Linked DNA regions of Pelodiscus sinensis. The protein of the gene in region 4 interacts with the protein of the main gene of each other region in a pairwise test. Links are inferred from orthologs where the notes say so. Each region holds a gene or a part of one and is shown on either strand. Other genes may lie near its edges.

Region 1 (7,966 bases), on a different chromosome or scaffold from region 4:
CGGCTTTGGGCCTGGTGTGGGGAGATGCCAGGCTGGAGGGGCCCACAGGTCTGATCCGGGGACGGGGCATGGCTCTAGAACCCGCAGGGCTGAGGGCTCTGGAACCCTTCCACAACCAGCTGGGTACATGGGTCTAGAACGTGACAAAAATGTCCCGCTAATCGATCTGGAATCACTCCAGAACCAGCAGGAGGGGGGGGGGTCTGGAACTGCTCCAGAACCAGCAGGATGGGAGGAGACTGGAATTGCTCCAGAACCAGCAGGAGGGGGAGGGGAGTCTGGAAGTGCTCCAGAACCAGCGGGGGGGAGTCTGGAATTGCTCCAGAACCAGTAGGAGGGGGAATGGAGTCTGGAAGTGCTCTAGAACCAGCAGGAGGGGGAGGGGAGTCTGGAATTGCTCCAGAGCCAGCAGGAGGGGGAGAGGAGTCTGGAAGTGCTCCAGAACCAGCGGGGGGGGGGAGTCTGGAATTGCTCCAGAACCAGTAGGAGGGGGAGGGGAGTCTGGAAGTGCTCCAGAACCAGTAGGAGGGGGAAGGGAGTCTGGAATTGCTCCAGAACCAGCAGGAGGGGGAGGGAAGTCTGGAAGTGCTCTAGAACCAGCAGGAGGGGGAGGGGAGTCTGGAAGTGCTCTAGAACCAGCAGGAGGGGGAGGGGAGTCTGGAAGAGCTCTAGAACCAGCAGGAGGGGGAGGGGAGTCTGGAAGTGCTCTAGAACCAGCAGGAGGGGGAGGGGAGTCTGGAAGTGCTCTAGAACCAGCAGGAGGAGGAGGGGAGTCTGGAAGTGCTCTAGAACCAGCAGGAGGAGGAGGGAGTCTGGAAGTGCTCTAGAACCAGCAGGAGGAGGAGGGGAATCTGGAAGTGCTCTAGAACCAGCAGGAGGAGGAGGGGAGTCTGGAAGTGCTCTAGAACCAGCAGGAGGAGGAGGGAGTCTGGAAGTGCTCTAGAACCAGCAGCAGGAGGAGGGGAGTCTGGAAGTGCTCTAGAACCAGCAGGAGGAGGAGGGGAGTCTGGAAGTGCTCTAGAACCAGCAGGAGGAGGAGGGGAGTCTGGAAGTGCTCTAGAACCAGCAGGAGGAGGAGGGGAGTCTGGAAGTGCTCCAGAACTAGCAGCAGGGGCCTGGAAGTGTCTCGCTGTCTGATCTCCCCAGGAGTGCCGGGCAAGCAGGCTGTGATAACCCCTTGTTCATCCGTCCCCTTCCCACACCCCACAGCCCCTCCCTCACCATCCTGCTCCTCAGGTGGGGCGGGGCACAGGGCCTTTCCCCAGGCCTAGGCCAGCTCAGAGGCCGTGCAAACAGGAGTCCTCCGCCCCAGGGCCTGGGGCCGGCCACGGGGCACTCACCCATTCCAGCAGCTTCAGAAACCCCAGCGGCTCCTTCAGGGTCCGGAACTGCCCCCCTGCCACGAGCTGGGAACCCAGGCGGAGGCGGAGACAGAGGGGGCAGGGCGGGACGGATATTAAAACAGCTGCCATCTCCCTTACGCCCAGCCCGCCCCCCCCCGACCAGGGAGAGAACTCAGGAGCCCTGGCTCCCAGCCCCCCCAACCACTAGTCCCCACTGCCCTCCCCGAGCCAGGGAGAGAACCCAGGAGTCCTGGCTCCCAGCCCCCCCCAAACCACTAGTCCCCACTGCCCTCCCCGAGCCAGGGAGAGAACCCAGGAGTCCTGGCTCCCAGCCCCCCCCCACTCTAACCGCTAGTCCCCACTGCCCTCCCTGAGCCAGGGAGAGAACCCAGGAGCCCTGGCTCCCAGCCCCCCCCAACCACTAGTCCCCACTGCCCTCCCCGAGCCAGGGAGAGAACCCAGGAGTCCTGGCTCCCAGCTCCCCCCACTCTAACCGCTAGTCCCCACTGCCCTCCCCGAGCCAGGGAGAGAACCCAGGAGTCCTGGCTCCCAGCCCCCCCCACTCTAACCGCTAGTCCCCACTGCCCTCCCTGAGCCAGGGAGAGAACCCAGGAGTCCTGGCTCCCAGCCCCCCCCCACTCTAACCGCTAGTCCCCACTGCCCTCCCCGAGCCAGGGAGAGAACCCAGGAGTCCTGGCCACCAGACCCCACTGCCCATGCTGGGGAGAAAACCCATCTCAAGACGGTTCCTCCCACGGCTCCCTACGGGGAATAACCATACGGGAAAGGCCTCAGTGCGCTCAGCCCCCCCAGGCCGGCCCCCCCTGCTGGGGGCAGGTCCATGTTAACCTCGATTCATAAGCAGCCCCCCCACCTGAATCCCTCAACCCCGCCTGCCCAATGGGGGGGTCTTTGCTGCATTCCCCCCCCCTGCTGCAGCTGGGGGAATATTCTGCCCCCCAGGTTGTATCCACCCAACCCCTGTGGCCCTATGTTCACCCCCAAACTCGCTATCCCGAGTTAAACCCCCCCGCGACCCCCCCGGTCTGCACCCTCCTATTCCTCCAGCCAAGACATCCTGCACCCAAGGGTTCCCTGCCCCCCCAAGCCCGGCTCTGCAGCAGCAGCTGGTGGGAGAATAGTCTCACCCCCTCCCTGCGTGAGCCCCACAACCCCCCCCCCCCGCACCCGAGCGCTACGGCAGGCAATGAATTCACTGCAGCAGGTCAGCCATCTTCCTTCCCCGCCCCCACCCCTGCTGCAAAGGGAGGGGGGTGTCATCCTCCCCCCCACTCCAACATATCTGGTAACATCCCCCCAGCGCCACCGCCGAGCCTCCCTCCACACGGCCAGCCCATCGCCCCCCCTTCTGCAGCACGGGAATAGCCGAGCTCCAGAACCCCCCCATGCCCTGCAATCCCAGACCCACTGCAGTCTGCCTGCATTCAAGCTGGGCCCCCCCTAATGTCAGATCCCTGCATCCTCCCCCATCTGTGCCCACCACGCACCCATCTTGGACTCGCCCCCCCTTGCAGCAGGGAGCTACCCTGTCCCCTAGCGCCCCCCCCACCAAACAGCCTGCAATTCCCACCCAACTGCAAGCTACCTACACCCAACCTGCCCCCCCCGAATCATTTTCAGCCCCCCCCCCCATCTGCAGCCGGGGAAGATGCTACCCCCGATAACCTCAGCGCGTCCCATCCAGCCCCTCTGTGCCCCCCACGCACCCAGCTCAGATTTGCCCCCCGTCTGCAGCAAATACCCTGCCCCCCCCCGCTTGCCCCCTCCCCCCGGATTCGCAGGGCGCTGCCTTTGGACGTAACCGCTCCAGCTGCTGCTGCAAAACACCAGCCCAGGGGAGGTGCGGGGGGGTTTGCCTGGGGGGGGAGCCGACAGTCCCGTGCCCCCCCCCCCCTCTGGAATCCCCGCTCGCCCCGATCGCTGTCTATGGTGCTGAGCTAGCCAGGTGCGTACCTGATTGAGGACTTCCATCTTGGAGCTGTCTGGAGACAGGCGGAGGGAGGGGGGCAGGGCTAGATCCGGAACAGCCTCCGGCGGGGGTCAGCCGCAGGAGGGAAGAGCTAGAGGTGACGTCACGAGGGGGGACTGTCACTCCCCGGCAAAGGGAGCGGGGGATGGAGGGTGGCGGGTTCGAATCCCGGTGTCGGGGGTGAGGTGGGTCGGGAGCCAGGACTCCTCGGTTCTCTCCCTGGGCCAGGGAGGGGAGACTAGTGGTTAGAGTGAGAGGGAGGGGACCCAGGATCCCTAGGTTCTCTCCCTGGGTCTGGGAAGGGAGGGGAGACTAGTGGTTAGAGTAGGAGGGAGGGGACCCAGGATTCCTGGGTTCTCTCCCTGGTTTGGGGAGGGGAGTGGTGGCTAGAGGCGGAGGGGCGGGGCTGAGAACCTGGCTTCCCTCCGTGGGTCTGGGAGGGGAGTGGGGGCTAGTGGTTGGAGTGGAGCTGGGAGCCAGGAGTCCTGGGTTCTATTGCTGGCATCTGGGTTGATGCAACTTCTGTACTGCGCCTCTAGGTACTTCCCCCATCCCGCTACCGGGGGGGGGGGGGTTCTCTGACACTCCAGTTTCTCCCCCGGTGCAGCCCCCCAGTCCCATGGAGAACAGAGAATAGAATTCATGAGGGACATAGCCCTGCAACTCTCCCCCCCCCCCATTGGGGGGCAGGGCTTCAGCTAGGAGGCACCCTTGGCCCCGCCCCCTCCCTGCAGGTGTGGAGGGCAGGAGGTAGATCAGCCCGTGGCCAAGTGCATCCCAGCCCCCCTGTTGGGGGGCAGAGCCAGGACCCCAAAAGCCAGGGCCCAGGGACGCAGGAAGATGGACTAGGGGGAGGAAGGAGAAAACCAGCAGATCAGGGCAAAGACCAAAGAGCTGGGTGGTGGGAAAGTGCAGGGAGGAGAGAAGAGAGGGACACGGGCAGAGATGAATGGAGGGAAAAATGAACGGAAGGCAGGAACCCAGCAGCGAGGCAGAGCATCCCAAGGGCTGGCTGGAGGGTGGGTGGGTGGACGATGGGTGTGGAGATGGATGGATGGAGGGTGGGGGTGCACGGAGGGAGGGAGGGAGGAACCCAGCAGCGGGGCAGAGCATCCCAAGGGCTGGCTGGAGGGTGGGGGTGGGGGTCCACGGAGGGAGGGACCCAGCGGAGGGGCAGAGCATCCCAAGGGCTGGCTGGAGGGTGGGGGTGGGGGTGCACGGAGGGAGGGACCCAGCGGAGGGGCAGAGCATCCCAAGGGCTGGCTGGAGGGTGGGTGGATGGATGGATGGAGGGTGGGGGTGGGGGTGCACAGAGGGAGGGACCCAGCGGAGGGGCAGAGCATCCCAAGGGCTGGCTGGAGGGTGGATGGATGGAGGGTGGGGGTGGGGGTGCACGGAGGGAGGGAGGGAGGGACCCAGCGGAGGGGCAGAACGTCCCAAGGGCTGGACGGAATCGTAGGATCCCGGAACTGGAAGGGACCGCGAGGGTCATCGAGTCCAGTCCCTGACCCCATGGCAGGACCCCGCATGGTCTAGCCCATCCCTGATGGACGTTTATCCAACCTGCTCTTCAATGTCTCCAGAGATGGGGATTCCACAACCTCCCTGTGCAATGGATCCCAGCGTGTCACCCCCTGCCAGGCAGGAGGATTTTCCTAAGGTCCAACTTAAACGCCCCTGGCTGCAATTCAAGCCCCTTGCTCCTTGTCCCGTCCTCAGAGGCCAGGGGAACAAGTTTTCTCCCTCCTCCTTGTGACACCCTTTTAGATACCTGAAAAGCCTCACTCATGTCCCCCTCAGTCCTCTCCTTTCCAAACTGCCCAAGCCCCGTTCTTTGTCTGCCCGCCCAGCTCCTGTTCCCTAGACCGGCCATCAGTCTTGCTGCTCTTCTCTGGACCTTCTCCAATGTCTCCCCATCTTCCTTGAAGCGTGGTGCCCAGAACTGGCCACAATCCCCCAGCGGAGGCCTGACCAGCGCAGAGCAGAGCAGAGCGGGAGAACGACTCCTCCTGTCTTGCTCCCCACACTCCTGTCGGTGCCTCCCAGGATCACGTTTGCTGTTTTTGCAACAGCGTCGCCCTTTTGATTCGTTTTTAGCGTGTGGCCCACTCGGCCCCTAGAAAGGAAGGACGGTGGGTGTGAGATGGATGGTGGGGGATGGAGGGAGGGAGGCAGGAGCCCAGCTGAGGGACAGAGCATCCCAAGGGATGGACGGGCGGGCAAAGGACAGACTGAGTGAATGGAAGAAGGGTGAGTGCACAGGGAAGGGGAGCAGACGAGGGGAAGGCAGGAGGGAGGTGAAAAGCAGCAAGAATATGGAGGAGGCACGAATGGGGAAGGGAAGAACAGAAGGAAAGGGGGTGGGGGGGAGAAGGGGAGTGTGAACCCAGGCGTCCGGGTCAAACCCCAAGGACCAGAGCCATAAGGGAGGGGGAAGAAAAACCTGGCAGCTGGAGAGGGCACTGGACAAAAAACCCCAGATGTGACCCCTACCCAGCTCCCCCTTCGGGATAGGTGGGGGGTGCTGCCCTGCGGATTGGAAGTGAACCCGAGCCCCACTCCGCCCCCCAACGGACAGGATGTGAACCCAGGTGTCTGGGCTGGCTCCCAGTTTGGGGCCCTGCAGTTTGCAGGAGGCGTCCCCGTGTGGCGTTCTGTGTGGCTGTTCCCAGCTGCCCTGCTCCAGAGGTGGCTGCATCTCAGCCCCAGGTGAGCCCGGCCTGTGAGCTACCTCCCAGTCCTCCTCAATCTAACTACTAGACCCCACTGCCTTGCCAGAGCTGGGGAGAGAACCCAGGCGTCCTGGCTCCTAGCTCTCTTGCTTTTCCCTCAGTGGCTCAGGGAGGAATCACCATGGAGCCCCCACCCCACAGCTGCCCCCAGGGGTCACCTCAGCCAGCCTGTTCAGCTGCCAGGCCTCTCTGGCTGGGGAGAGAGGGGAGGGGTCAGATTCACGCCCCTCAGCCCGGGACCATCCCTCTGCCCCCCAGATCTGACCCACAGGTCCATCCAGTCCAGGTAACACCCTGTGCCCCTCCCATACATGCCCCCTTGCGAGGCCTCTGCCCTGACCCCAAAGTGCCGCCTGCCCTCCACTCTGACCCCACCTTGCCCCCATCCGCAGGGCGAAGGGCTGGGAGGCGGGGTTCACCCGTGTCCCTGCCCCCCCCCCCCGGAGGAAATGATCCAGACCCGAGTTTGCCAGGTCCCAGCCCCGTCCCTCGGCACCCCCAGACCCCAGGCAGCAGCGAGGTGGGAGGGATTTGGGGGAGCCAAGCCCTTCCCCCGACTGGCTCCTCTTCACCCATCTCCTGCCCCACTTCAGCCCCAGCCCCTCCCATCCAGCCTGTTTCCCCTCATCTCCGGAGCCCCTCCCCCTCCGCAGTCCCACTGGGGATGTTAGCGATCGGCCTTTTAAACAATTGCCCAGCAAGCCGCTTATCGGTTCATCCAGAGAACGACATGCACCTCCCCCCTACTGCCTCCATATCAGAGGCAGCATCGCAGGGGCAGGCAGGAAGCAGCTTTCAAGCCAGCTCCCCAATCCGATCGCTTTCTTCAATGGGATCGCGAGTCCTGTGGAGAAGGGAGCCGCGGTGGCCGTGGGATACCCAGACTTTAGCAACGCATTTCACACAGTCCGACCTTCTTAGCAATAAACTCGGGCAATACAACCTAAATGGGGCTACTCTAAGGCGGGGGCATAACGGGCTGGAGAACCGTTCTCAGAGAGTCGTTATTAACGGTTCATAATCCTGCTGGCAGGGCAGAACAAGGGGGGTCCCCAGGGGTCTGTTTTGGGACCAGTTCTGTTCGATATCTTCACCAATGATTTAGATATTGGCACAGAGCGGACGCTTATTAAGTTTGAAGATGATACAAAACTGGGAGGGGTTGCCAGTGGTTTGGAGGAGAGGATTATAATTCAAATTAATCTGGGCAAACTGGAGAAATGGTCGGAGGTCAATAGGATGAAGTTTAATGCAAAGTGCTCCACTTAGGAAGGAACAATCCGTGTCCCACACACAGAACGGGATGCGACTGTCTGGGAAGGAGTCCTGCAGAAAGGGATCTAGGGGTCAGAGTGAACCACATGCTAACTATGAGTCAGCAGCGTGACAGGGGGGCTGTGTCTACATTGGCACCCTTTTCCGGAAAAGGGATGCTAATGAGACACTTCGGAATTGCAAATGCCGCAGGGGATTTAAATATCCCCCGTGGCATTTGCATGAACATGGCTGCCGCTTTTTTCCGGCTCGGGGCTTTGCTGGAGAAAAGCGCCAGTCTAGACGGGATCTTTCGGAAAATAAAGCCTTTTCCGGAAGATCCCTTATTCCTCTTAAAATCAGGAATCAGGGATCTTCTGGAAAAGGCTTTATTTTCCGAAAGATCCCGTCTAGACTGGCGCTTTTCTCCGGCAAAGCCCCGAGCCGGAAAAAAGCGGCAGCCATTTGCAATTCTGATTTGTCTCATTAGCATCCCTTTTCCGGAAAAGGGTGCCAATGTAGACACAGCCGGTATGTCTACACTGCAGAGTTGTTCCAGAAAAACTACACTTACATCCACACTGCAATTGCGTTCTTTTGACAGAAAGTCGAAAGAATGCAGGGGGTCTTTCTGACATTGGTAAACC
Region 2 (7,779 bases), on a different chromosome or scaffold from region 4:
GGCCAGGCTGATTTTTTTTCCCCATTCGAACCAGTGTCTGGCTCATCTCCGCAGATGGAATGGAGCTGGCTAGCGCTGGAACCACGTCAACGCTACAGGGTCCCTTTAAAGCTGGCTCCTAGGAGCAGAGCTGACTCCAGCTGAGCCAGGGTGCAGGGCACTGTGCGGTGTGCGTGCCTCTCTCTGGGACGTGTTCATTTCCAAACCTCCAGGCAGCCCGTTTCAGAAGCATTAGGTCACTCTCGTCACCACCACCACAGCCCAGCTCACCCCACCCCGTCCCTGAGTTCCCCTTTGAATGCTGTGGCATTTGTCATCCGTGTGGGCTTGTTGCCTTTTCTTTATTCCACAGCAGCCTGTGACATTTGCATCAGGTCTGGGCCCTGTTGTCTTTCAGTTCCCTGCGCATGGGGCCCTGAGCAGAGGATGTATAATTGGTAGATTTACTCCTACGCCCCCACGGGAGCGGTGTGTACTCTCCCCTTCCACATAGCTAATCCCCGGCACACACATGCACCCGCAGCGCTTCCCGACCGTGCTGCGTGCAGCTGGGAATGGAGAGAGGCAAGGCTTGAAGGGCAAAGGGAGCATCCTGTGGCTTTCAGAGAGGCAGGGGGATGCTAGCCTGAGTCCCATGGGCCGGCTGCACGTCTAGAGAAAGCTGGGGGCACTGCAGGGCAGCACACCTTGTGCCTGTCCAGCTCAGCCCGGGTGTGGCCACCAAACTTCCTTCCTCGTCAGATGGGAGATCTGTTTGGTTTCTGGCGGCAGCACATGAAACCCGCAGCCCTAGGAGTACGTGTGCGCTGCGGCTGTTTCTGCCATCTGCTTCAGGTCTCTGAAATCAGATGCCAGGGTTTGCCCAGGGCTCAGGCTCCTGTTGGCACCAGCTGCTTCCGGAACCTGGGACAAACCCTGAATCCACCCCCGGTGGGCACAAACACATCCAGTCTGTCATTTCTCAGGGGCTGATCTTTGCTCAGACTCCTCTAGTCTGTGGGGTCCCTTGGAATCAGAAATGAACTGGGCTCGGTGAGAGAAAATCCTGACCCACCAGCAATGCCCACCAAGCACCACTCGCCCCCTTCCCTTCCCCTCTGTGAGGACCCAACAAGGTCCCTGTAAAGACATCCTGGCCTGCACTCATACAAGCAAATAAAGCAAGTTGTGTCAGCTGACAGGGCCATACCACTGTTGCCTAGAACTGCACCTTTCCCCAGCATCTGACAATTAACTCCACATTCCTAAACCATCATTGTGAGGTGGGGAGGAAGGGTTATTAGCCCCACCTGGGATGGGGAAACTGAGGCACACAATGGGGAATGGCCGTATCTTCTCACTCACGCACAGTCCAGGGGAAGTGGTTGCATGTTGGGGAGAATGCACTCTCCTTATGAAGGCAACAGAGCCAGTCCCCAGCCACCACTAATATCTCTGTCTCTTTCCCCCAGGGGACGGTTTGGCTGGTAGATCTGCGCAGATCCTGTCTGCCACATTCCGGACCTGCTGCAGTCCTTATGTGGGCCACAGACCTTGGCCCTAAGTAACTTACCCAGCACTAGGAGCAGTCCCTGTCAATGTTCCCTCTAATCTTTTCCATCCATGCGCGGATGTTTTTCCATATATATATATATATATATGAACGGAATAAGTTTTGTTATGTGCACTGAGGAATGTGTGAATGTGCACCACCTGGAGAAACACAAACCTAGCTGTGAGAACTCTGCAAATCAGCTGGGCAGCACTGGAATTTCTCCTGAGCGGCCGCACAAGAGCACGGCTGACAGGGAACACTGGTCCCTGCCACTGTGGCCTGCTGTGCACTGTCCCCTAGGCCACTCTGCCTTTCACCCGCAGACTTCCCCACACCCTGCCCTCCTGCCAGGAACCCCAAATCACAGCTCTGACGCAAGTCACGCTCTTGTTACCCTCCCTTCCAGTGGTGCTTCCCTTCTGCTCCATGGCCCTGGCCTCTTCCATCTAACGCCCCAGCCTCTCTGGGGACTTACCGCCTCTGCTGCTCCTGCTGGTGGCAAGCGAACGCAGCTGCCGGCTGCTGCCCAGTGGGGGCAGGGGCGTGATCCCCCACATGAGAAGCTCTTGCACCCGGATTTCCCCCAGGAGAGGCACCAAGATGGGTTGGGGGCTCTAAGGAGTCGCCTGCTGCCTGTTCCCACGCCCGGGCTGCAGCACAAGGTTCCTGTAGTGAAAGCAAAGAAGTGGCAGGCTGCTCTGTCCCTGCGGCCTCTACCCCACCTCCATGCCAGCCAGCCCCATGGAGACTCACCATGCCCTTTGTGACAGCAGCAGCTCCTGTAAGGTGCCTCCTAACCTCACACCCTCCCTCACACCCTGTAGGGGCTGCCTGGTCGTGCCTGGCTGATTTCGCCCGGCCTGGTCTTAAAAAGTTAAATCCTCCCCCCATGTCCCTGAAACCTTCAGCCCTCCCTGGAGAGCCTTCCCAGTGGTCCCGGATCTCCCCATCTCTCCCCAGAGAGATTGTCTATGCCTCTCCTTCCGGAGAGAGTCTCTAATCCCCCTCGGTCACTGCTCACAGCCCAGTGCTGAGCACTGAAACTGACCCCACAGATGGCTTCTGAAAGCTTCCCCACCCCCACCCCCCGTGAATGCCGCACGCTGTCCCGCGCCAAAACTCCAGGAGGCACGAAGCCAATGGCGGGCCCCTGTATGAGGACGAGCCCGTCTCTTTCCCACTATACGAAACACTGACTAGCTAATTACCAAATCGGGTGCTTCGGCTGCAATGTGACGATGAACCGAGAACCAGTCCCACCATCTTGGGCGTCCTTACACCCCTCACCCCTGTGAAATCCACGTTTAAGGGTATGTCTAGACTACATGTCTCTGGCGACAGAGGCATGTAAATTAGATATACTGACATAGTCAATGAAGTGGGGATTTAAATATCCCCCTCTTCATTAGAATAAAAATGGCCACCACATTGTGCCAGCTCAGCTGTTTGTCGGCACGAACCGGCAGTCAAGACGGGGATCGGTCGACAAGGAAAGCCTTTGCTGACCGATCCCTTATGCCTCATGAAACGAGGTTTACAGGATTGGTCGGCAAAGGCTTTCGTTGTCGACCGATCCCCGTCTTGACTGCCGGTTCGTGCCGACAAACAGCTGAGCCGGCACAACGTGGCGACCATTTTTATTCTAATGAAGTGGGGGATATATAAATCCCCACTTCACTGACTATGTCGGTATGTCTAATTTACATGCCTCTGTCGCCAGAGGCATGTAGTTTAGACATACCCTATGAGCAGCTGGTCTGCCTGCCATGTCCAGGCCGTTGACTCACCCAATGAGAGTGCAAAATGCAAATGAGAAGGTGGGGCGAAGAAGAAGGGTGGGGTGATGTACCTCTCCCAGGAGCCCGCATGCCCAGCGGGAGCAGGGGTTCGGGAGATGGAGGACACAGTGGGTGGGACGTTTCACCGCTATTGTCCCACCTCTCAGCACAGTGATGTCACAATCCCACCTCTCAGGTCCCTGAGTCACAGCTCAACAATGCCCTGGGCAGCAGCTGGGGGGGGGACACAAGATGGCCAGGTGGACGGGGTGAAAAACCAGCCAGCTTCTGCCCTTCCCTGGCCTGCCCCCCTTCCTGGGACCCAGTGGTATTTGCAAATCATTTTCAACGTCACGAATCTTTCAACCACTTTAATTTCCATCCATCCACTGCCCCCGGGGTGAAATAATGCTCCTTGGTGCTTGCAGAGCTCATCACTTCATCTTTACTGGGCGCTCAGATTGGGAACACACACCACGAGCGTACTGAAGAGGGAAACCCCGGCTTGTTAAGTCCAACCTCTCTCTCTCCCCCCTGGGGTAACCGTCCTACCCTTCCCCAGCTATAGCTTCCAGGGCATCTGGAACTCATCGGGCAGTAAGAGAGACCAGTGTGTGGCCTCCACATTTTTCATGTGCTTCCTGGCCAGAAACAAGGCCAGCTGCTGCTTTCTCCTGGGGGTCAAGTCCTTCCCGACCCTCCAGGGGAAGCTGTCTTCACCTCCGAGGCAGGATTTGTAGCTTTGCAACTTGCTGACACACCAGTCGTCCTCCACCTCGAAGCGCCTGCAGACGGCCTCTTCCTGCGTGGGGCTGACGGCTCGCAGCCAGTGACGGACCGCCGCCTCCCCTTCGCAGGACAGGACCTCAGGATAGCGGTGCCTCAGCAGCTGAAGGAGCAGCTCGTTGCTTCTGTTGGACCGGATGTCAGCGAGCTGGTCCGAGGTGCGGACGTGGGTGGTGGTGACTTCATCGTGGGTCCTCCGGATCAGCAGCACTGGCCCCGGGTAGCTGCAGAGCTGCTCGGCCACGTTGAGGTTGAAGTGCTGCCGCACCGTCTGGACCACCAGCTTGGTCCAGCTCTTAGGCATGACCTTCAGGGCCAGGGGGAGCAGGTCGTCGAAGGTGGCGTCCAGCATCAGGGCCCCCAGCTCTGGGTAAGTCTTGGCAGCCCAGGTGGCTGTGTAGCCACCCAGGGACCAGCCATAGAGGATGATGTCTTGCACCGGGAAACCCAGGCGGCAGGTGGCATACTGAATCACCACATCCATCGCGTTAGCGTCATTCTCCGGGAAGGGCAGGCCCGTGCTTCCAGCATAGCCCGGGTGGTTCCACCCCAGGACCGAGTAGCCGGCCTCCAGCGGGGTGGAGAGACAGCCCACTTCGTAGAAACCCACATTCCCCTCGCAGCAGATCACCAGCCGCTTCCCTCGCTGCTCCTCCTCCACTCCTGCGCTCTTCCTCCTGTCCACAAACATGGTGTCGATCTCGTTCCCGTCGCACGCCATCAGCTTGGCCCGCTTCCCGTGAAACTCCTCCAGCAGGCGAGCCTGCCCCTTCACCAGTAAAGGCAGCAGGGCTTTCTGCATGACGTACAGGGAGCCAGGATAAAGCAGCCACCGGCCTAAGGAGTGAGCCATGACGTAGCAGACCAGCCGGCTAGGCAACTGCCTCATCTTGCGGAGACAGCTACACTGAGCAGTGGTAGGCCTTCCGTGCGATGCTGATCTCAGCAGAGCCTCTTGGGCGGTGGTCTGGGACGCAGCCTTGTGGCCGGGGCTCCTCCCTGGGCAGCCGGCCTCATCCCATCGGAAGTCCACGGGCCAGCTCCTGAACTCAAAGTTGTAATTGGCCATCAGATATGTTTTGAACACATGGCCAAGAGCTTTGGTGAAGCATATCACACACATAGGGGGAGCGGAGGGCCTTGTCCATGCAAGAAAGAAATAGCAAGGGCACAGGGAAAGGGGCGCCACGAAAGCTAGCGCTCACAGGGCCAGTTCCCGCCACGGGCCTCCATTGGAGAGATTCCCTAGCAGACGTCAGCGGCAGCTCCACGTTAAATAGCTGGGTTACAGCTCCTCCGCCATGACAGGCCTCCTCTGTAAGCCCAGCGATGCCCCTGAGAAATGCAGAGGCACTTCCCCCAGGGTCTCCATAGGCCAGGTAAGCAAGGCAGCGTAATAATGAGTGGGGTCGACCTCCATTATGAGCATGCCCTTCACTGAGGGTGAGGCTCAGCCAGCAAGTGGCAAACCAGGGTGCAGTTATCACTGAACACCAGTAGGGGTCGTCTGAAGTAACTGCAGGTTGAACCTCTCTAGTCCGGCACCTTCTGGTCTGGCAACATCTGTGGTCCGGCATGATGTTAGTGAGCCGGATGTCCACTTATCGTGGGTGTAGCCAAGTTTCCTGTGGTCCCATAAAGTTCGTTAACAGCCACCAGTCCTGGCTTTCAGTGTTCTGTGTTGTTGTTTAGCTCTAATTGACCCCGAAGTGTCTTCTCAGAGCCCAGTAAGCAGTGGAAGTGTTGGTAATGCTGCTAGACAATAGGCGTGTGAAGGACTAGTCAATAAGTCGCTTCCTCCCTCCCCCCACCTGCCTGCCTCTATCAGATAGAAGTAGCAATGGGGGGAAGCGGAGGGGGTACTTCAAAGCAGCAGCGCTGCGTGGAGCCCAGGGCCATACCCCAGGCTCCATGCGACGCTGCCACTTTGAAATGCTGCATGCAGCCTGGGGCCAGCTGGGGTGTCCCCAAGCTGCATGCGGCGTTTCAAAGCAGCAACACCACGTGGAGCCTGGGATCAGCTGGGGACTCTCCCGCTGATCCTGTGCTCTGTGCCGCACTGCCCCTTTGAAACGCCGCGAGGAGCCTGGCGTCAGGCTCCATATAGCGCTTTCGCCCTAGGGCTGTTGCTATACTTCAAAGGCAGAGGCGCCCTCTCGACTAATCAAATAGTCCATGCAAAATGCTTCAACTATTCGATTAGTCAATTAGTCGATACTTAAACATCCTTATTAGACATTATTCAACTCCCGTGGTCCAGCAAATTCTCTAGTTTGGCGCTGGTCAGGTCCCAAGGGTGCCAGACTTGAGAGGTTCAACCCATTCTAGCTATCACAATAAAATACAAAACTGCCCCTCATACCTGCGGGCACCTCCCTTCTCTCCTCACATAGGGTGTGTCTAAACTACATGGCTCCATCGATGGACCCATGTAGATTAGGCTGATTGGCAAAGGGAAATGAAGCCTGGGAAATTTAAATGGCTGCCACGCTGAGCCGACAAACAGCCGATCAGCTGTTTGTCGGCTCAGCGCACTAGTCTGGACGCTCCTGCGCTGACCTGCAAGCCCTTTATCGACCTCCCCGTTATGCCTCATAGGATGAGGTTTACCAGGGAGGTCGATAAAGGGCTTTCATGTCAGCAGGGGAGCGTCCAGACTGCCCCAATCTGCCAACAAACAGCTGATCGGCAGAGCGTGGCAGCCATTTAAATTTAATTGAAGCCGCAATTATTTAAATCGCGGCTTCATTTCCCTTTGCCGAACAAACAAATCTACATGGCTCCGTCGACAGAGCCATGTAGTATAGATGTACCCATACTGCTCCCAGGGCAGATCTGAAACGTTTTAACAACAAAGCAAGCCCGTTATGTTTATGAACCATACCCTTTTCTTTGACCTCTAATAACCCTGTCGAGCATAAGCCAGCATCCACCTTCTGTGATCTCTGTTGTGCTGCCGCAGAGAATCCGTACACCTCTGTGCCTCGGTAAGGAAGATGTTCTTAGACTCAACAGGCAAACAAAAGTGAAATTAAAAGTGGATTTAAAAAAACGTTTATTGTTCCCCCCTCCACATAACTGCTCGTGTGCCCGCTGCTGTGATGTCCGTCTGCAGGCAAAGAGACAGCTCAGGGAAGAAAAGAAAAGGCCACTTTGGGAAGCTACCTTGTTATTTGTGCTCAGATAAAGAACTAGGTCCTCAGACTCGCAGATCACCCCCAGATCTCCCAAGACCAGGCCCTATGTTCAAGCAACACCACTGACATGCAGCCCTCTCTGGGGCGGTGATGACAATGGCTAGTGAGGGGGAGGAAAAATGTTCCTGGAACCCAGTACCAACTCCCACTGTTCGATTCTACGATACGGTTAAAGATCACAGTGAGCAAACCGGAGCTGGGTTTTTAATTGCTCATCCACCCGGGAACTCAATTTAGTTCCCCACGGAGGAGGGACTCCTCCTCATTACTGGTTCTAGGCGTGATGCTTAGAACGGTGTCACCTTGGGGCAAGAGGTGGAGCAGAGGTAACACCAGCTGGATCTATTGCAGGGCTGGGGAACTTTTGGGGGCCGTAGAAAAATCCATTGGGGGCTGCACTAAAGTGAGATGCAAAAAAAAATCATTGACGTGGCCCTGACTGAGAAACAGAAGGACCCTCTCCACGTTCCCCTTGCACACCAGA
Region 3 (8,333 bases), on a different chromosome or scaffold from region 4:
GTTTTATCTCGGAATCGCACTTCTCTACCGTGTGTAGATGCAGGCAATTACTTCAGGCTAGTCAGTTTCCAAAATGGCAACCGGCCAGGAATATGCTAATCAAGAGCGGGATATTTAAATCCTCCGCTTCCTTAGCAATTTCGGTCGCCCTCATTAGCCTCCCTAGTTCGAACTAGGAGGCTAGTGTAGACGTACCCTGATCTCAAACAAAGAAGAGAGAAAGAAACCCCCCTTTTTCCCGGTTTGAAATTCCTATCTGCATTTTTATTGGCTGACTGCCCAAACCCCCTCCCTAGGTGCATCTCCAGTTGCTTAATCCTTTCCTCTCTCTTCAGGTAAGTCAGAGTCTCCTTAGAAGCTCCTATTTATGACACCTCCCATCCTCCCTAAGGGGCACCCGAGGAGTGGCAGGGTCGAGGCTGGGCAGTCCCAGATTTCGGGTTGCCAGGTGGTTTCAACAAAAATCCTGGACACACTTGACGTTACATCACAATCTACAGTGCGTCTTATTCAGAAAATACCGGACGTTGATATTTTCTCATTGATATTTTCTCAATTTGTTTCCTGAACAGAAAGCTCAAATACTGGACTGACTGTCTGGTTCAAAACCGGACCCCTGGTAACCCTACCCAGATTGGGGAAGGGGAGTTGCGCCCAGCCAGCCTCTTTCACCTGCCTGGGGGTCCTGTCTCTTTTCTGTATGGTTTAATGAGAAGCAATCCTATTCCAGGCACATCTCCTTTTTCTGGCACAACCAAACCCTGACCTTTCTTTAAGTTAGGACAACAGGAAGCTGTGTGCCGCATTTTGTGGCTCTAGCTCTGACTGTTTAGGAGGACTTCTTGAACAGATGGACAGACAGACAAATTCTCTTAAATATATAGTAGACAAAGATAATTATCAGGGCAGAATGCCATTTGGGGGACAGTCTTCGGTCATATTAAAAGCTATTCTAGTATTGATCTCACCCATTTGTGACTGCTCGCATCACTATACTGAGGGTAGTGGATCGTAAGTGTACATTCGTAAATAAGAGCTACATTGTGTGAACATACAAATTGTTAACAAATGTAAAATAGTAAAATAAGGAAAGTTACATCACCAGAAAGCAACCTCCAGATGAAAATCTCAATCTTCCAGCACACCTTCCGATTCTGCAAGCACCGCTCCCTCATCTAGCTGCAAACAAAAACGGCAACCTTCCTTACCTCTCACCTACATCCGTGAAAATGCCTCTTAAACTATCGACCCAGCACTGAATGCAAATATAAACCTAGTCAGCATTCACTTGAGTAGTCTCTCATTAATGGCTAACTAAATGCATTGATTTTCATTTACTCAGTGGAAAGTGTGAAAACGTAGGGAGTATCTGATCTAAGATAAAGGAATGGCTACTTTGCACAGTGTATAAAAAGGGTAGCTTGCAACACCCCCACCCCCATGTGTACAATATGTCATATAAACACATTGTCACAAGGCATACTCACTGGTGTGGTGCTTCCTCGTGGCTGCATCTGAGGAATCGGATTTCCTCAGGTCTGACACTCCCTTGTATCATGTGTTCACTTCACAGCCTCTCTCTCTCTGTGACTCTGCAGGCTTTCTCTTTCTAACTCAGCCCTCCCCCTAGGTAACTATACAATCCACACACACACCCTTTCCAGGGTATCAAAGTCCCTTCACACCAGCTGTCTGGTTGCCATCTCCCATAATCCTGTGCCACTTAGTGACTGGTAGAAGAACCCAGGCCTGCCCACTACTCCTGGTTCCAGCCCTGGGACTTTAAAATCAGCAGCCATGTCTGCACAATCTCTAAGCCCTTTTTCTCTTTCGCTGGGCTGCTTCCTGATCCACCTTCAACAGGGTTTCCTCTACACCTTCCTGGGTAAATCCCCTCTAGACGTCTCAAATGCTGGGTCTAAATTAGCTATAACCACTCATGAGAGAGGTCTTGGAGTCACTGTGGATCGTTCTCTGAAAGCCTCCACTCCATGTGCAGCAGCAGTCAAAAAAGCAATCAGAATGTTAGGAATCATTGTGAGGTGCATGTAGTAGGAGATTTCTGCTTGGAGTTTATTTGCTGAGGCCTTAACTGTTCATTCCTCTGTTCTGAATGCTTGTGTGCATGGCGTTAGCTATAGGTCAGCGACCTTCATTGGCACTCCAAGTGTGGATTTTTTATTATGAATTTCCTTGTTTTCTCATTGCACCCAGTAAATTCTGCAGTAAGAGAAAGGACAAAGGGAGAAATGCTGTGAAACAACAAGACTACCATGTTTCCAGATAACGCTGTGTGTACAGTATAGCTTGCCATCTGCCTGGCTCTTATCAACCGCTTTCACGGCAGATGCAGCCTTAATTGTGGGACTGCTAATACACTCTCTGAGTGACTGATGTGTCAATTAAAATGTGTGTTTAGGTCTGTCTTCATCTTTGACTCTGTGTGCATGTGTTGTATGCATTACTGGATATGCACGTCAAACAATAAAGGGTTTTATTTTGCAAACAGGGCTACTGTGTGGGAGTGGTGGAGTGTGGCTTTTCGGTGGTATATTGTAGTCAGTGCTAGAGCAAGAAATGTATTGAAACTCAACAGATCAAGTCACACAGGGCTTGGCCTGTAAAGCACTGAGTGTCGTCCCTTCCCACTGAAGTCAGATGCAATCTTTGACCACAACCAATCGGCCTAGTGTCCTAGAAGCAAAAGGCTCCGGAGTGTCTGACAGATCTTCCTGAGCCGTCTTCCACCTTCTCCCTTTGGCACTTGTCCTGGATCTTTGCCTTTTGAGGTTTCTGGGTACCGGATCCTTTCCCCACTGAAGTTAATGGGAGTTAGGGGGGAGGGATAGCTCAGTGGTTTGAGCCTTGGCCTGCTAAACCTAGGGTTGTGAGTTCTATCCTTATAGAGACCATTTAGGGATTTGGGGCAAAAATTCATCAGGGATGGTACTTGGTCCTGCTATAAAGGCAGGGGACTGGACTTGATGACCTTTCAAGGTCCCTTCCAGTTCTAGGAGATAGGCAATCTCCATTATTATTATTATGACTCTTAAGTGAAGCAGCATCAGACCCTACATTCATACATGTCACTGAATGCATAGGGTTGAGATTGGGATTTCCAAAAGCACTCAAGTGATTTAGGAGCACACAACTCCCATGGAAAGCAGTGTGTTCCTAAATCCCTTGCACCCATTTGAGTATCCCCACCTGTGGTGACATTGAAAATAACGATCCTGCCTGGCCAGTCTGCAGGCTCTGGGTTGGGATTATAATCCTCACCCCTCTAGGCACTTTGCTGACTATTTCTGTACGAGTGGAGTGACACATCCAGCTAAAGCAGAAGTGATAGGTGCTCTCCCAACATTCCCTTAATAGCCGTTTATTTTTTACATAGTAAAATGTGATTTTCATTGTGCCGGTGACATTGAGGAATGAAAGGCTGAATCCTGCTCTTCCTGCTGAGTGTCAGAAATAGATCTGGAAAGACGATGACTCACCTGTAATTGAGAAAAGTGAATGGCATCAGAATGGTATTTAAAAGTTAGCTTTTTCTGACTCCATCTGCCAGGAAAAGGGTGTGGATTAATACAAAGGCCCAGGTTGGATAGGTGGGGCTGGCATAGAACACAGGTAATGCTTTGCACTATTATGGTATTTTGTACACAAGGGTCTCAAAGCATTTCTCATATACCTGCATGTTGTGGGTAGATCAGTAGTATTACCCACATTTCACTGGCTGGGAAACTGAGGCACAGAGAGGTGATGTGGGTTGCCCAGGATCAGAAGATGAGTCAGCCACAGAACCCTAGGGTTCCTGACCACAAATGTATTCAGGTCAAAAATGCAGGTGGACTCCTCTTGGTTACTTTTGCTGCTTCTGGCCCAAGCCAAGTGATGATGTCAGAGTTGTCATGGCATCGGTATCTATGGAACCGAAATCGTCATCATCACCGTGAAAGGAAAACTAAATAAGGATGTGGCGCTTCCTGGGAGAAACTCCCTTTGGAATCAATGGGGGTTCCCCTCCACAGGGCCTGTACCCGATTGCTTTTTTCTTCTTCCTCCTTTCATGGAGGGGAGTAGCTGAGGGAAGGAGAAGAGGTTGCTCCCTCCAGCCTAACAGAATCTGTGGGTGGCAGGATGTTGTTTCTCAATTCCTGCAGGAAGAAAGCACAAGCTACAGTCCAACTGCCTTTCACTTCCTATTTTTAGGCCAAATAACAGGTACACGGTAGTCTAGTGACTAGCTCCCATGCCTCTAGCAAAGACACAGGGTTCTACTGGTCAAAAGCCAGCAAATGCACCCGTCACTACTCCAGGGCTGACACCACCACCTTTTGCTTTGCATCTGCTCCCCTTAGATATAAAACAAGGGTCCCGCCTCTTTGGATGGGGTCTTTCACTTAATGGCAGGGGTGGGAGGATGAGGAATACCTTCTCCCAGCATAGGCTACATCCTTGCTCCTTAGATTCCTGTCTTCCCTTCTTTTCCGCCGGCCACCCGCTGCAACTGGGGTCAGGCGGCTGTCTAGTCAGGGGTAGCTCTGTGGGAGGCTCTCCTGTCTGAGCTGCCTGAGAGAGGGAGGACAGATGCTTGGGCTGGAGCTGCAGTTGTGTAGGACTGGGCCCCTGTGGGGGAGAGGGGGAGAAGGTGGGGGGAGCGTTCAAGAAACCAGGAAGCATATTTGCAAGGGGATGGGCTGAGTGTGTGGGGGTGGGGGGTGCTGCTTTTCCCTACCTGCAAGGTTACTTTTTTGCCCCTCTGCCTCGCCCCCCCCCCCCCCCGTGCATCTCCTAAACTAGCCTAACTGCCCTTTCAAGGGGGGGGCGTAGCCCCCCTGCAGTAAGGGGAGGCAGAAAAGCAGCAGGCTATTTGCAGGGCATGCAGCCTGAAGCACCCAGAACACCAAACAGCCTCCTATGCAAAGCGCAATGCCGGAGCCGGCGTACTCAGGCAAGACAAGGTGTGAACAAAAATCGAAAGCGATCCGGGTGCAAGGAGGATGCACCTGTATGCTCACCCAGCCTTTTCGCCTCTTCCCTCCCCCCCCCGCCCTTCCTCCATGGTACCGCCCACTCCCTAACACACAGACGAAACCAGACGAGCCCACGCGGCCAGGAACAGGGGGTCAGCGGCAGCGAGGCGGGCTCCGGCTGCACCAGCCGCGCCAGGGGGCTTGTGCGCGAGACGCGGGCACCCGGGCGGGCAGGCAGCGGCGCGAGCCTCCCCCACTCCCTGCCGGCGCGCGCCCGCTGGGGCGCTGCTGCTGCTGCACAGCCCGGAGCCCGAGAGGCGACGCCGCAGCCCGCCTGGGGAAGATGGAAGGAGCGTCCTTCGGCGCGGGCCGGGCCGGGGGGGCCATTGACCCGGTGGATTTCCTCAAGCAGCCTCAGGCCATTCTCCGGATAGTGTCCTGGGTAAGGCAGCGCGGCGGCGTTTGCAGCGGGCATGGCTCGGGGCGGTCCCTGCTGGGGGGGGGCTGCTCCCCTTCCTTGCCCCCTCCAGCCTTGCCATGCAACGGGGGAGGGGGGAGCATTCGCCAGACATACCTGGGGGCGCGCGGCTGCGGGGTGGTTTGCATTTGGGGCGGGTGGCTTGTTTTATTTCGGCCATGCAAGAGGGAGAGGGAATGGGCGCAGCACTGGGGGGAAGGGGGGGGGGCTAAACCATTTTCTCTGCCCAGTGGGGGCTGTCATTCCGTCCAAATGACAGGAGCCATAGCCCCAACTGCTGGGAGGGGGGGCTGCATTATGGTGATTATTTGCAGAGTGGAAAGACCACCTCTGCCCCCCTGGGGGGGTGGAAGTCTTTGCTTCCTCCAAAAAGGGAGGGCATTTTCAGGGCTTTATTTTGCCACTGGAGAGGGGTCATTTTTCGCGGTCTCTTGTCTTTTCTGATGCTCAAACAGATGGGAGGGGGAGCAGGAAAATCCGGTGGAAATAGGTGGCCAGGAGACATTTTTCTTCTAGACTTCACCATCCAGCCCTACCGAGATCCCTGTCCTTAATGCAAAATGATAGAAGGGTTGGCTGGCTGGCTGGCTGGGGTTTATTTTAATTTTATTTTCAATTCCTGTGGCTGCGCCGAAAGCGTAAGACTGAATCCGTTTTCCGGGTGCCTGCTTTAGGGTGGCTTTGATCTTTGGTGTTCTGTGGGCAGTGACATGGAACGCTATGTAAGGAGCTTTGCCTCCGTAGATTAGGCCGACAGATGCAAGGGTTAAGGCCCACGCTCCACCCATAACGCGCCTGGTTAGCCTCGGGTTTTATGTGCTGAGACCTGCAGGTCTGTGCTGACAGCTCTTTGGTGAGTTGGGAGCTTCATGCCTTCTCCCACAAGACCTGAGCCAAAAGCCCACATCACAAAAATCACCACTAACGGGGTGCTCATGCGGGTCCCCTGGCCAACCCCCTGAGCAGGCAGCCTTCGCAGAAAGGCCAGGGATTGAGCGGGGCGGTGGACTCCTTTTCCCAGTTAGAGGCAGAGAGGGTTCCTTTAGGTTCAGGATGAGATGCAGAGGTGTGCGGGGGAAGTTTGCATTGCTGTTCCCCTGACTGTTCTGAGGATTTCCAACTTGTTCTGTGGCTTGAGGCCTTCAGACTCCAGAGCAGTCACTGTGTCACCTTTTCAGGGCAGGAAATGCACTGTCAAAGCTATTTTAAGTGCAGTGGCCAATTAAAAACCTCCTTCTTTCTACCTTTCACTGCCCCCTCTCCCCAGCTTTATTCTTCATTCTCGAGGCTTTACTACCAGTTGCCCCTGTCCTGGGCCCTGATCCAGCAAAGCATTTAAGTGTACGCTTATCTTTAAGTACAAGAATAAAACTGTTGAAGTCAGGTGCTTGAGGGCTTTGCTGGGTCAGGCCTATAACTCATTCGCCCGTGCTTTGAGAACAGGACGGGCACGATTATTTGCGGGGCCTAGTTCAGATATATGGAGCAGGAGTGTGACCTATTTTTGTGTGTACACACACACACACACACACACACACCTATTTTTGTGTACACACACACACACACACACACACACACACACACACACACACACACACACACAAATAGGCTATGTTCCACTAGCTAGAGATAGATATAGTAAGATATCTGGTGGTGCAAAAAAATATGTTCTTTTTTTAAATGGCAAAACGTCATGAACCCCACTCCAAATTGTCAATACGGCCGTTAGCCCGCTGTGCGTGAGGCCTGAGTGTATCTCTGTATTTTATACTGCAGCGCGCGCGGGATGGACTTTGCGATCGCGCTGGGTTTAAAATGGACGTACGTATTTCGACCTATATTGTGTATGTCCTCAGGCACGTCTTACCCCTACAAAACTAATGTAGGTCCATAGGTATTTTTAATATAATTTGAATTTTTAATCGTGGGTGTTTAAATATGTAATAAAATAAATGGCCTCCATCTCCAGTACATGAGAATAGTGCCTAGGGCAGGGCCAAACATAAAGTGCGGGGCCACATGTGCGGGAGCTGACTGCCCACGTCTCACGCCGGCCCTGTTGGAGAGAGCATCTGAATGGGATACAGTGTGCACAAAACTGGGCCCAAAATGTCAAATCCAGTTGTGGTTCTTTTCTTCGGATGGACGCAGTGCGTGGCCGTGACGTGCGGCTTATGAAGCATGGAAGATGGGTGCCTCTGTGAAACAGGAACAGAATCCACACGATGGCATTAAAAACCAGCTCAGGAAAAGTTCCCACGCATGCTTAGTGGATGAGTGGTCAAGAAGGAATCTTTGGGGAATTTAAAACCACAAGGGACTGGTCCCAAAGTGAGAATAAAGGGCCTGAAATTGCCCGTTCTCCCACATCCGATCACTTCTATGCCTGTAAGTAGCCCCATGTTCTTTTAGTCTGTTTGTGTGCTTACATTTAAGCACACGCACAGGCCCGTATGCAGGAGTTTCTTTGGGGTGAGGGGGGGTGCTTTTTTTTTTTTAAATGTGGACAGCGAGGGTGCAAAACCCCCCCACCGTGGTCCCCCAAATATGCGTGCTCTGGCCAGCTGGGGGAAAGCGGGAGCCGTGTGATGCCTGAGCCTCCCTCCCCAATACTCCAACCGGCCGGGGGAAGGCTGGGGGCTGATTCTCCCCGTCCCAGAGGGAGACCCAGCCCTACCTCCAGCCTCGCTCTTGCGGGAGAGGAATCAGCCCCAACTTCCCCCGGCTGGCCAGAGCATGCTTACTTGAGGCTCCAAGGTGGGGCGTTCGCACCCTTTGCACACACCCCCCTCCATGTATGGGCCTGAAGCATAAGTTGTTTGCAGGATCAAGGGGCCTGATCCAAAGCCCATACAGTCAGAGGGGCATCTTTCCACTCA
Region 4 (7,668 bases):
ACCCAAGTTTCTTGAGTCCCAGTCCAATGTATTAATCACTAGGAGACACACCAACCATTAAGCCTACCATCTTATACCTGAAGGCATTTTCCTTTATACACTACTGACACTCAAACCTCTTTCTATCTATGCACACTTCTCTGTGCTTTGCTGGTTTTTGAACACCAAAATGTAGACCTTAAAGTAGCACCTTAAGTATGCCATCCATGACACTTGCTTTAAATGCAAATAAATCTGTTTCTAGAAGCATTCGATTTTTAATCTAGTCCTTTGTGTTTTTCAAACTTTAAACAGATGCCATCACTTTAAGTTTATGAAAGCCTCAAAAAGTTCTTCCTAATGTTCTCCATTTATACTGGAATTGTTTTCCTTTATACTAACAGGCATAATAATCTAAAGTTATTTGTTCTTCTTTAAATCTTTGAGCCTGAATTGAGCTCTGTGCAGGTGGATCGCAGGCCCATTCAGAGCCCTGATTTCAACAGGACTTCATATATGTGCAGAGATACACTTAGGCACAAGGCCTATACTAATATACTATGTTAATGTACAGAGTTTGATCTTTGCGCATATCACTGGATTTCTTCTCTTTTTTATAAAATGTTCTTTGTGTGCAGACCCCAATAAATCTCAATCTGCCCTTCCCTGGAATGAGACAAGAAATGCAGTTTCTTCTTGGAGAAGTCAGGTGTTAGAGTTGGAGGAGATAACTTGAATACTGAGCTGATTACAAGAGGCTAGTTTCAATCAGTGTAGCACTTGCTAAGGCTCCGTATCTGTCACAGAGATCATGGATTCCATGACTTTCCACAACTTCTATGATTTCTGGAGCGGTAGGTGATGCTCAAGCAGATGGCCTCAGGGATTGCTGATCAGGTGGTCCAGAGGCTAGCCACACTGGCCCCTGCTGCAGTGGATCTGCAGCCAGTTGCTTGGGTGGCCCAGCATCCAGGCACACTGGAGCTGCTAGGAGCAGACCCAGGCCCAGCTACAATGGCCATTGCATGGGTGGATCCAGGCACTATACCTAGGGACTGCCTGAGCAGCAGGCAACATGGCTAGCCACGGGGACTGCTTGAGCAGCAGTTCCAGAATCAGTGGGAGCTGACAGTACTACCAATCCCGGGCTTCATTTGCAACTCCGGTTGCTTGATTTGCCTACCTAGCTCAAATTAATGAGCTAGTGTAGACATACCCTAAGATGCTGCAGAACTATTTGTTGGGTTTTTTAAAGTTTTTCATAACTAAATTGTAGCCTTCGTGATTGCTATCCATAGATCTGTTACTTTCAACTTCCATGTTAACTGAGGCTACAGCTACACTACAAGCTTTTTCCGGAAAAGGAAATACAAATGGAGCACTCATTTGCATATGTTGCACTCTCATTTAAATTTTCTCTTCCTATCCTTTTTGTGGAAGAGCTTTTTGCACAAAAAAGCGCTGTGTAGGTGGCACCTTTTGTGCAAGAGCCCTTCTTCAGATAAAAAAATATAAGATAAAAAAATGAGGAAGAAGGGCTCTTGCGGAAAAAGGTGCCATCTACACAGTGCTTTTTTGTGCAAAAACCTCTTCCACAAAAAGGATTGAAGAGAAAATGCAAATGAGAGCATGACATATGCAAATGAGCACTCCATTTGCATTTCCTCTTCTGGAAAAAGCTTGTAGTGTAGCCATAGCGTGGGTGTTTAAATCTCATCTTTCAAACACTGGTACATAAAATTTGCTATTTAATACATATGTAGAGATATAAGTGGCTTGATCTGTAAGATTGAGAACTTTAGTCTAACTGCCTTTCAGAAAGGCTCAGGGTAACAGCACAAGGTTTAGAACCATGGTTCCTCAACTTTCAAGATATTATAGTCTACAGAGGTTGAAAGAGAATCATGAACCAAGAACACATTACATTATTAAAAATACTTCCAGCAAACTGAAGCTAAATCAACAGTAGAAAAAAAAATTTGAAAGCAGTATAACACAAAGATATTTAAACTTGCTAAAGAAAAAGGTAAAGAATGGCAAATCTCATTCAAGCAGAGCAATTGCATGTATACTACACAACAGCTTTCAGACCCTGTCATGAATAATAACTGTTTTGCAGAATTTTTTTGTTTGTTTGTTTTCCCCTCCCCTGCTTTCCACTATTGAAGAATGTAAACAAGACTAAGTTGATTGTTTTGGTTACTTCCTCTTGGATTTTGCTTCCTGTCCTACTGCCCTAGAATCTCTCTGTCCATATGTAAAGGAAAGGCAAAACAGTTTAGCTAATTATTGTTGCTGTGGATGGGTAAGTGCCTTAAATACAGCATGTTTCCAAAGTTATTTTCCAACTAAAAAAAATACCAAATTGCTATTTATGCCACAGGTCATATCACATAGTGGTCAATACCTAACTAATCTGTATGAGTACATTTCATTTTTCTCCAAGTATTTGAATATTGCCAGGAGTGGGTGGGAGGAAGGTGTTTTAAACAGTGGAAATGTTTTGAAATGGGAGAATAATTTGTGCTTATAATTGTCTTGATTTATTGATAGTGAGTTTTATTTGCATTAATTACTGCACTTTAGTTATACAATGTGGACTTTAATGTTGTATTTTAAAATTACATGCTATCACCTAGAGTGTATTGATAGCTACTTTTTTGGTGTATGTCTATAAGTCTAAATTTCCTTATTTATATCAAAAGACTGCAGAGAACAGTCCCTTCTCATGGCCTTTTTGCAATTTACCTTGTCATGAATTATCCTGCTACTACTCTCTTGGAAGTTAAATAACAACATTTGACCAATATAAAACAGTGGATTTTACAAAGGGCTAAGGGAGAGGTTAATCTCTCCCATTCAGAAAATATATGCCTTTGTGGAGCTTGAAAACTTGTCAACAAAAGTTGGTCCATTAAACAATATTATCTCACCCCCTTTGCCTCTCATATTGAGTAGAACACATTTGAGCACTCTGCAAGCCATCTGAAGTGGTGAAATCTTGGATGAGCTCTGGATGGGTGATGAGTAGAAAACTGAAATAATGACAAAGACAATTTCTCTTGCCTCTAACATATACATTTTCACATCACAAGCTATCAATGGGACACATCCGTTCCACTTAATTAGTCTCATTTAGGGCCCTATAAATAATTGACAGTCTTCTTCCGTTATATATATAAAACCCACTTCATCAGATGAATTAAAGTGGAAGTAACAGAATATATACACTATATATATTTCCACTCTAATTCATCTGATGAAGTGGGTTTTACCCACAGAAACTCAACATTCTATATATTCTTTTGTTAGTCTCTAAGGTGCCACAGGCTGTTTTTAATGTCCATCTGTGAGCCCAGGGGAAGATTTACAATGAAACATACCATATCCTGGCATGGGGCCCCCCAACGACATGAGGCCCCCCAGGGCTGGGCAGTTCAGCACTTGGTCCGGCAACACCTCCCCTCCCATCTCCTGCATAGGGGGAAGCCACTCTATGGGGAGGAAGGGGCTAAGTCCCTCTACAGAGTGGCCTGTGTGAGGAAGAAGAGAGCAGGGAAAAAAATTGACAATTTCAGCAATATCGACAATTGAAAGTGCCTTTCTACAAAATATTATGACTTAATTGATGATTTTGTAAAGAAAAAGCATAGAAAGGAAGCTAACAACATTTTTTTCAAATTGAATAAGTTTCTTCAGAGGAAGTTAACTTTTATTTTTCCATTCATTCATCATCTATGCATTTTATTCTTTTCACATTTTTCATGTTGGCTTAATGGAAATACAAGCTTTCACCTAGACCAGAAGTCCTCAAAGTAGGTCTGATAACTCCATTCAGGTGGACGTAGGAAAGATTTTTGGGTCCCCCCCCCCCATAAAGGGCTCTTAGCCAACACATTTTACCATAATTAGCTAATGGTACAAACAATATTTGAAAAGATCATTAAGTGGTCTGCTGAGATCCTCAGCACTTTTCAATTGGCCTGTGAAAAACAACCCAAACAATCAAGATACCTCACTTTATTTTCATCTACTCCTTGTTACTTGTGTAAATAGGAGGAGGGTGAAGGAAAAAAGGAATGAAAAATGTGAGGGGCAGGGCGATGTTCTTTTTCTTGGCTGGGTCCCAGGGGGGAGCCCCCCAAATGAAGCTGAGCGCCACTAAGGCTAGCCCCGCCACTGTGTGCGCCTCCGAAGGACCAGACCCTCCTGCCAGGATTGCTTATAGCGCCTAGTCCCAGCCCTGCTGAGGCGCGTCCCAGGCAGGACAGATTCTGCTCCCCCCGCCGCGGATCCCTGAGGCGGGGGCGGCCCCTTTAAGGCGTCGCCGTGCCCCAGCCCCTCGGGCCAGGGGGCGGTAACGCGGGCGGCGCCTTGGGCCTGACGCCGCGCCCTGCGCCCTATCGGCTGCCGGGTTCCTGTGAGCCGGGCCGGGAGCTCCCGTCGCCTCCCCCAAGGAAAGGCCGCGGCTGCTGGTGTCGGGACTCGCCCCCGCCCCCTTTCCCGGCCGCGGCGGCGGCTCCCGAGGATGAACGTTATGGATTTCAATGTGAAGAAATTCGCCGCCGACGCGGGCACCTTCCTGAGCCGCGCAGTGCAGGTACCGGCAGCCGGGCCGCGCCGACACCCGCCGCCGCGGGGCGGGCCCGGGCACTGCCTGTGGCAGCGGCGCTGGAGGCTGCGGCCTGGTGCTGGGTGGCCGCTGCGGGGCCCGGCGGCTGGGGCGTTGGTCCGCGCTCGCGCTCAGCCCGGCTCCTCAACCGGCCCCTCAGCTGGGCCCCACGTCCCGGCACGGTGGGGGGGGGGGGGTCGCACCCCGGCCCGCGGTAACCCCAGCGGGGCGCTCTGTGAGCTGGGGCAGGGCTGTCCCGAGCGGGGGTGGGGTTGTGACTCCGGGCGTACAATGAGCCCTGGCTGGTGCCAGTTCCGTATTGAGACGCTGGTTCGAAACGAGCGTCTCTTGCCTTCCTCTCGCGCCCCAGGTGTGAGCCCTCTCTCGCGCCCAGGGGTGAAAGCGGCCTCCATTTCTTACAGGTACTGGCCTATGGTAACCGGCCCTGCCAGCTCTTTAAACAGCTCCCTCCTGGCTTTTGCACAGCACAGCCCATTCGTGCCAGAGCTGTGCGCTAGGGTGCACCCTTTTATTTTCATCATAGAGTCCTAGGGCTGGAAGAACTTTCTGTTTGGGCCATGTGCCTTCACACCCTGCCCTTGGGCGCTTCAGGGAGTTGGGGAACCCCAACCTGCAGGCATGAGAGGGAAGGAGGAGTGGGGATGCTGTGGCAATGGGGCAGGGCAGTAAGTCCTCTATCTAGATAGAGCAACTGAGGCTTACACAATGTTGTACAATGTATTCACATGTGACCCCTTAACTGTTTAGGGCAGGGGTCTGAAACATTAAGATAAATGTCCACCAATGAGAAAAAAGTATCATGTGAAACAAACTAACATGGGTAGTGTACCTTTAGCAGCTGGCATGACTTATGAACCTAGCTGGACATCTTTTTTTAATGATTCAATCTCTCTCTAAGGAGATACTGGTAGATTTTGATATTGCTTTAAAAACTTTCTTAGTAGTCTTCTGTCTCCAAACTGCTCTCAACTTTTTAATGCTAAGGGCACTTTGTAACTGGCTCCTGTTCCTTAGCCCTGTGGTAGGGGGACAGGGGGAAGAGGGTCTTACTTCTCTTGTATTAGGTAACCATTCTTACAGCAAATCTATTCCCAAGGCGAGTGTAGCAGCTCATGTGGGGCGGAGGGCAGGGTATATTTTTGGTGAGTTGCTTTCAGGTTTTGGACTTGCTTAAAAATTGGGATGCAGAGAAGTCTAGCTATGAATTTGTTCATGAATAAATAGTTCCACGAGAAGGTGCATTATCTTTTCAAGAGCACCCAAGCTAGGGTGACCACATTTCTCTATTGTGAATATGGGACACTGACCAGGCACGGAGCCCGGTCTTCCCTTCTCTCCCCTCCCTTCCCCATGGTTCATACCAACTGTGTGAGAAAAGAGGACAGGGAGCTGAGGAGCAGCTTTAACCCTCTGTAGCAGGAGGGACGGGAACACGTGGCTGACTGCGCCATTGTACCAGCCACAGGAGCAGCTGCCTCACACTACCCAGCTTTGGCTTCCTGCCTCCAAACTGGCCAAATGGTGGGGGCAGAGAAGCGATGAGTCTGTCTTCAGTACTAACTTCCACTGAAACTTGGGGACTACATCCCCAGCACCTCCCACCTCTGCCTATGGGTTTGGGAGCTTCTGCCGCATGGGGGAGCACCAGGAATCTGGGATTCAGCCCTGCCACTCCTGGCTTCAGTGCAAACAGGACCAGGGTTTGGGGCTTCACCCTCTCGGTTCCTGCTTTCAGCCTTGTAGGGGCTGCCAGGGCTTTGACATTGAGCCCCAGAGATCCCAGTTGCATTGGTGGGAAGGAGAAGAGACACCAGGGATTGGATTTTCAGCCCGGGGGAAGTGGTGTACTGGGGATGGCATCTTCAGCCCTGCGACTTGTGACCACCTCTCTACCTACCCTGAGGCCCACATCTGCTCTCCCTGACCAGCTGCCACTTGCCCACTCTTACTGGCTATGTGAACAAAGGGGGCTGGGAGCTGAGGGGCAGATTGAGCCCCCTGCAGCAGCAGAAGAGGGAGCACCACTAGCTGCCCTGTGGATTGGGTTTCTTCTCTAACTTGGTGGGGGTGGGGGAAGAGAGCTGTGGAGCTCTCCCAGGTACTGTACTGTGTGTGCTAGAGAGCCCCACAATTCTGCCAACAGGTTCTGGATGCTTCTCCCCTTACAGGGAGCACTGGGCATGCAGGACTCAATCCTGCTGCTCTCAGCTTTAGCCCTACCACTCATGGTTTGGGGAGTGGAAGGAGGCAAGGATTGTGGCTTCAGTTTGGGGAGGTGCTGAGAATTCACTGGGGCATTGCAGATTAGGGCTTGGGCTAATTCAGTGCAAGAGGGGTCATCAGAGATCAAGATTTCAGTCCTGCAGCAGATGCCTGAGATTGGGGCTTAACTGGCAGACTCCTCCTCCTCCCCACTTGAGAAACCCTGCTTTAGGTTGCACATGGGGAAGGGTGATACACCCCTCACTCACTCCCTCACCATCTATCACACACAGGTTCCTTCTACTGGCTTCCTGTCTTTCTGCCTCTGCACCCTGCTTAAGCGCACCACCTGCTGGCCCCTGCCTGCCTGACTGCATTCACCTGCCAGCCACAAGCAGAAGGTTGCTGTGACTGTTCTGATGCTGACTGACCAGCAGGGGTGTGCTGGAGCAGAAAATGCTTGACAGCCCACCTTTTAAAAAAAAAAAAAAGTGGGACACCTGCAAGAGGGCCTAAATAGGGGACTGTCCTGTTAAAAACAGGATGGATGGTCACCCTAACCCAAGCCCTCTTTATTTGGGTGCTTATGAAAATTTTACCTTGTATTCATATTCAGTGGTGGCTGCTTTATCTTCAGGAGATGTCGCTGCACAGTGCTTATCTTCCCTGTCACTGTACACTTCTCTCCCCAGCTAGTATTCTATGGAATGATTCGGAGGGAATCTGTTTCCATAGATCAGGAATGGACAAGACAGCCTCCACAGGCTTGATCCAGCCTACCGCTGCCATTCTTACCCTCCCTGCACCCCTACATCTCAATTGGCCGGGGGTGGGTGAAGTTTCCTTCCCTGCCA

The links.
Region 1: the proteins of SH3GLB1 (region 4) and SYP interact in binary tests that used the Homo sapiens proteins (3 or more experiments, as listed by UniProt). The link is inferred for Pelodiscus sinensis from reciprocal best matches to the Homo sapiens genes SH3GLB1 and SYP.
Region 2: the proteins of SH3GLB1 (region 4) and TPD52L2 interact in binary tests that used the Homo sapiens proteins (3 or more experiments, as listed by UniProt). The two-hybrid records come from large-scale screens. The link is inferred for Pelodiscus sinensis from reciprocal best matches to the Homo sapiens genes SH3GLB1 and TPD52L2.
Region 3: the proteins of SH3GLB1 (region 4) and SYNGR3 interact in binary tests that used the Homo sapiens proteins (3 or more experiments, as listed by UniProt). The link is inferred for Pelodiscus sinensis from reciprocal best matches to the Homo sapiens genes SH3GLB1 and SYNGR3.

What each region holds. Positions count from the first base shown.
Region 1 is NW_027466045.1:74,680-82,645, forward strand, and holds the start of SYP (synaptophysin), read right to left. Parts: upstream 3,423-7,966; 5' UTR 3,336-3,422; coding exon 3,318-3,335; intron 1,407-3,317; coding exon 1,341-1,406; intron 1-1,340.
Region 2 is NC_134728.1:3,880,253-3,888,031, reverse strand, and holds the start of TPD52L2 (tumor protein D54), read right to left. Parts: upstream 3,459-7,779; 5' UTR 3,322-3,458; intron 2,201-3,321; 5' UTR 2,092-2,200; coding exon 2,010-2,091; intron 1-2,009. Other genes in the region: ABHD16B, read right to left, coding at 3,875-5,221.
Region 3 is NC_134726.1:37,696,689-37,705,021, forward strand, and holds the start of SYNGR3 (synaptogyrin-3), read left to right. Parts: upstream 1-5,097; 5' UTR 5,098-5,319; coding exon 5,320-5,418; intron 5,419-8,333. UniProt on the Homo sapiens protein: May play a role in regulated exocytosis. May indirectly regulate the activity of the plasma membrane dopamine transporter SLC6A3 and thereby regulate dopamine transport back from the synaptic cleft into the presynaptic terminal.
Region 4 is NC_134719.1:31,007,260-31,014,927, forward strand, and holds the start of SH3GLB1 (endophilin-B1), read left to right. Parts: upstream 1-4,327; 5' UTR 4,328-4,507; coding exon 4,508-4,579; intron 4,580-7,668. UniProt on the Homo sapiens protein: May be required for normal outer mitochondrial membrane dynamics. Required for coatomer-mediated retrograde transport in certain cells. May recruit other proteins to membranes with high curvature. May promote membrane fusion.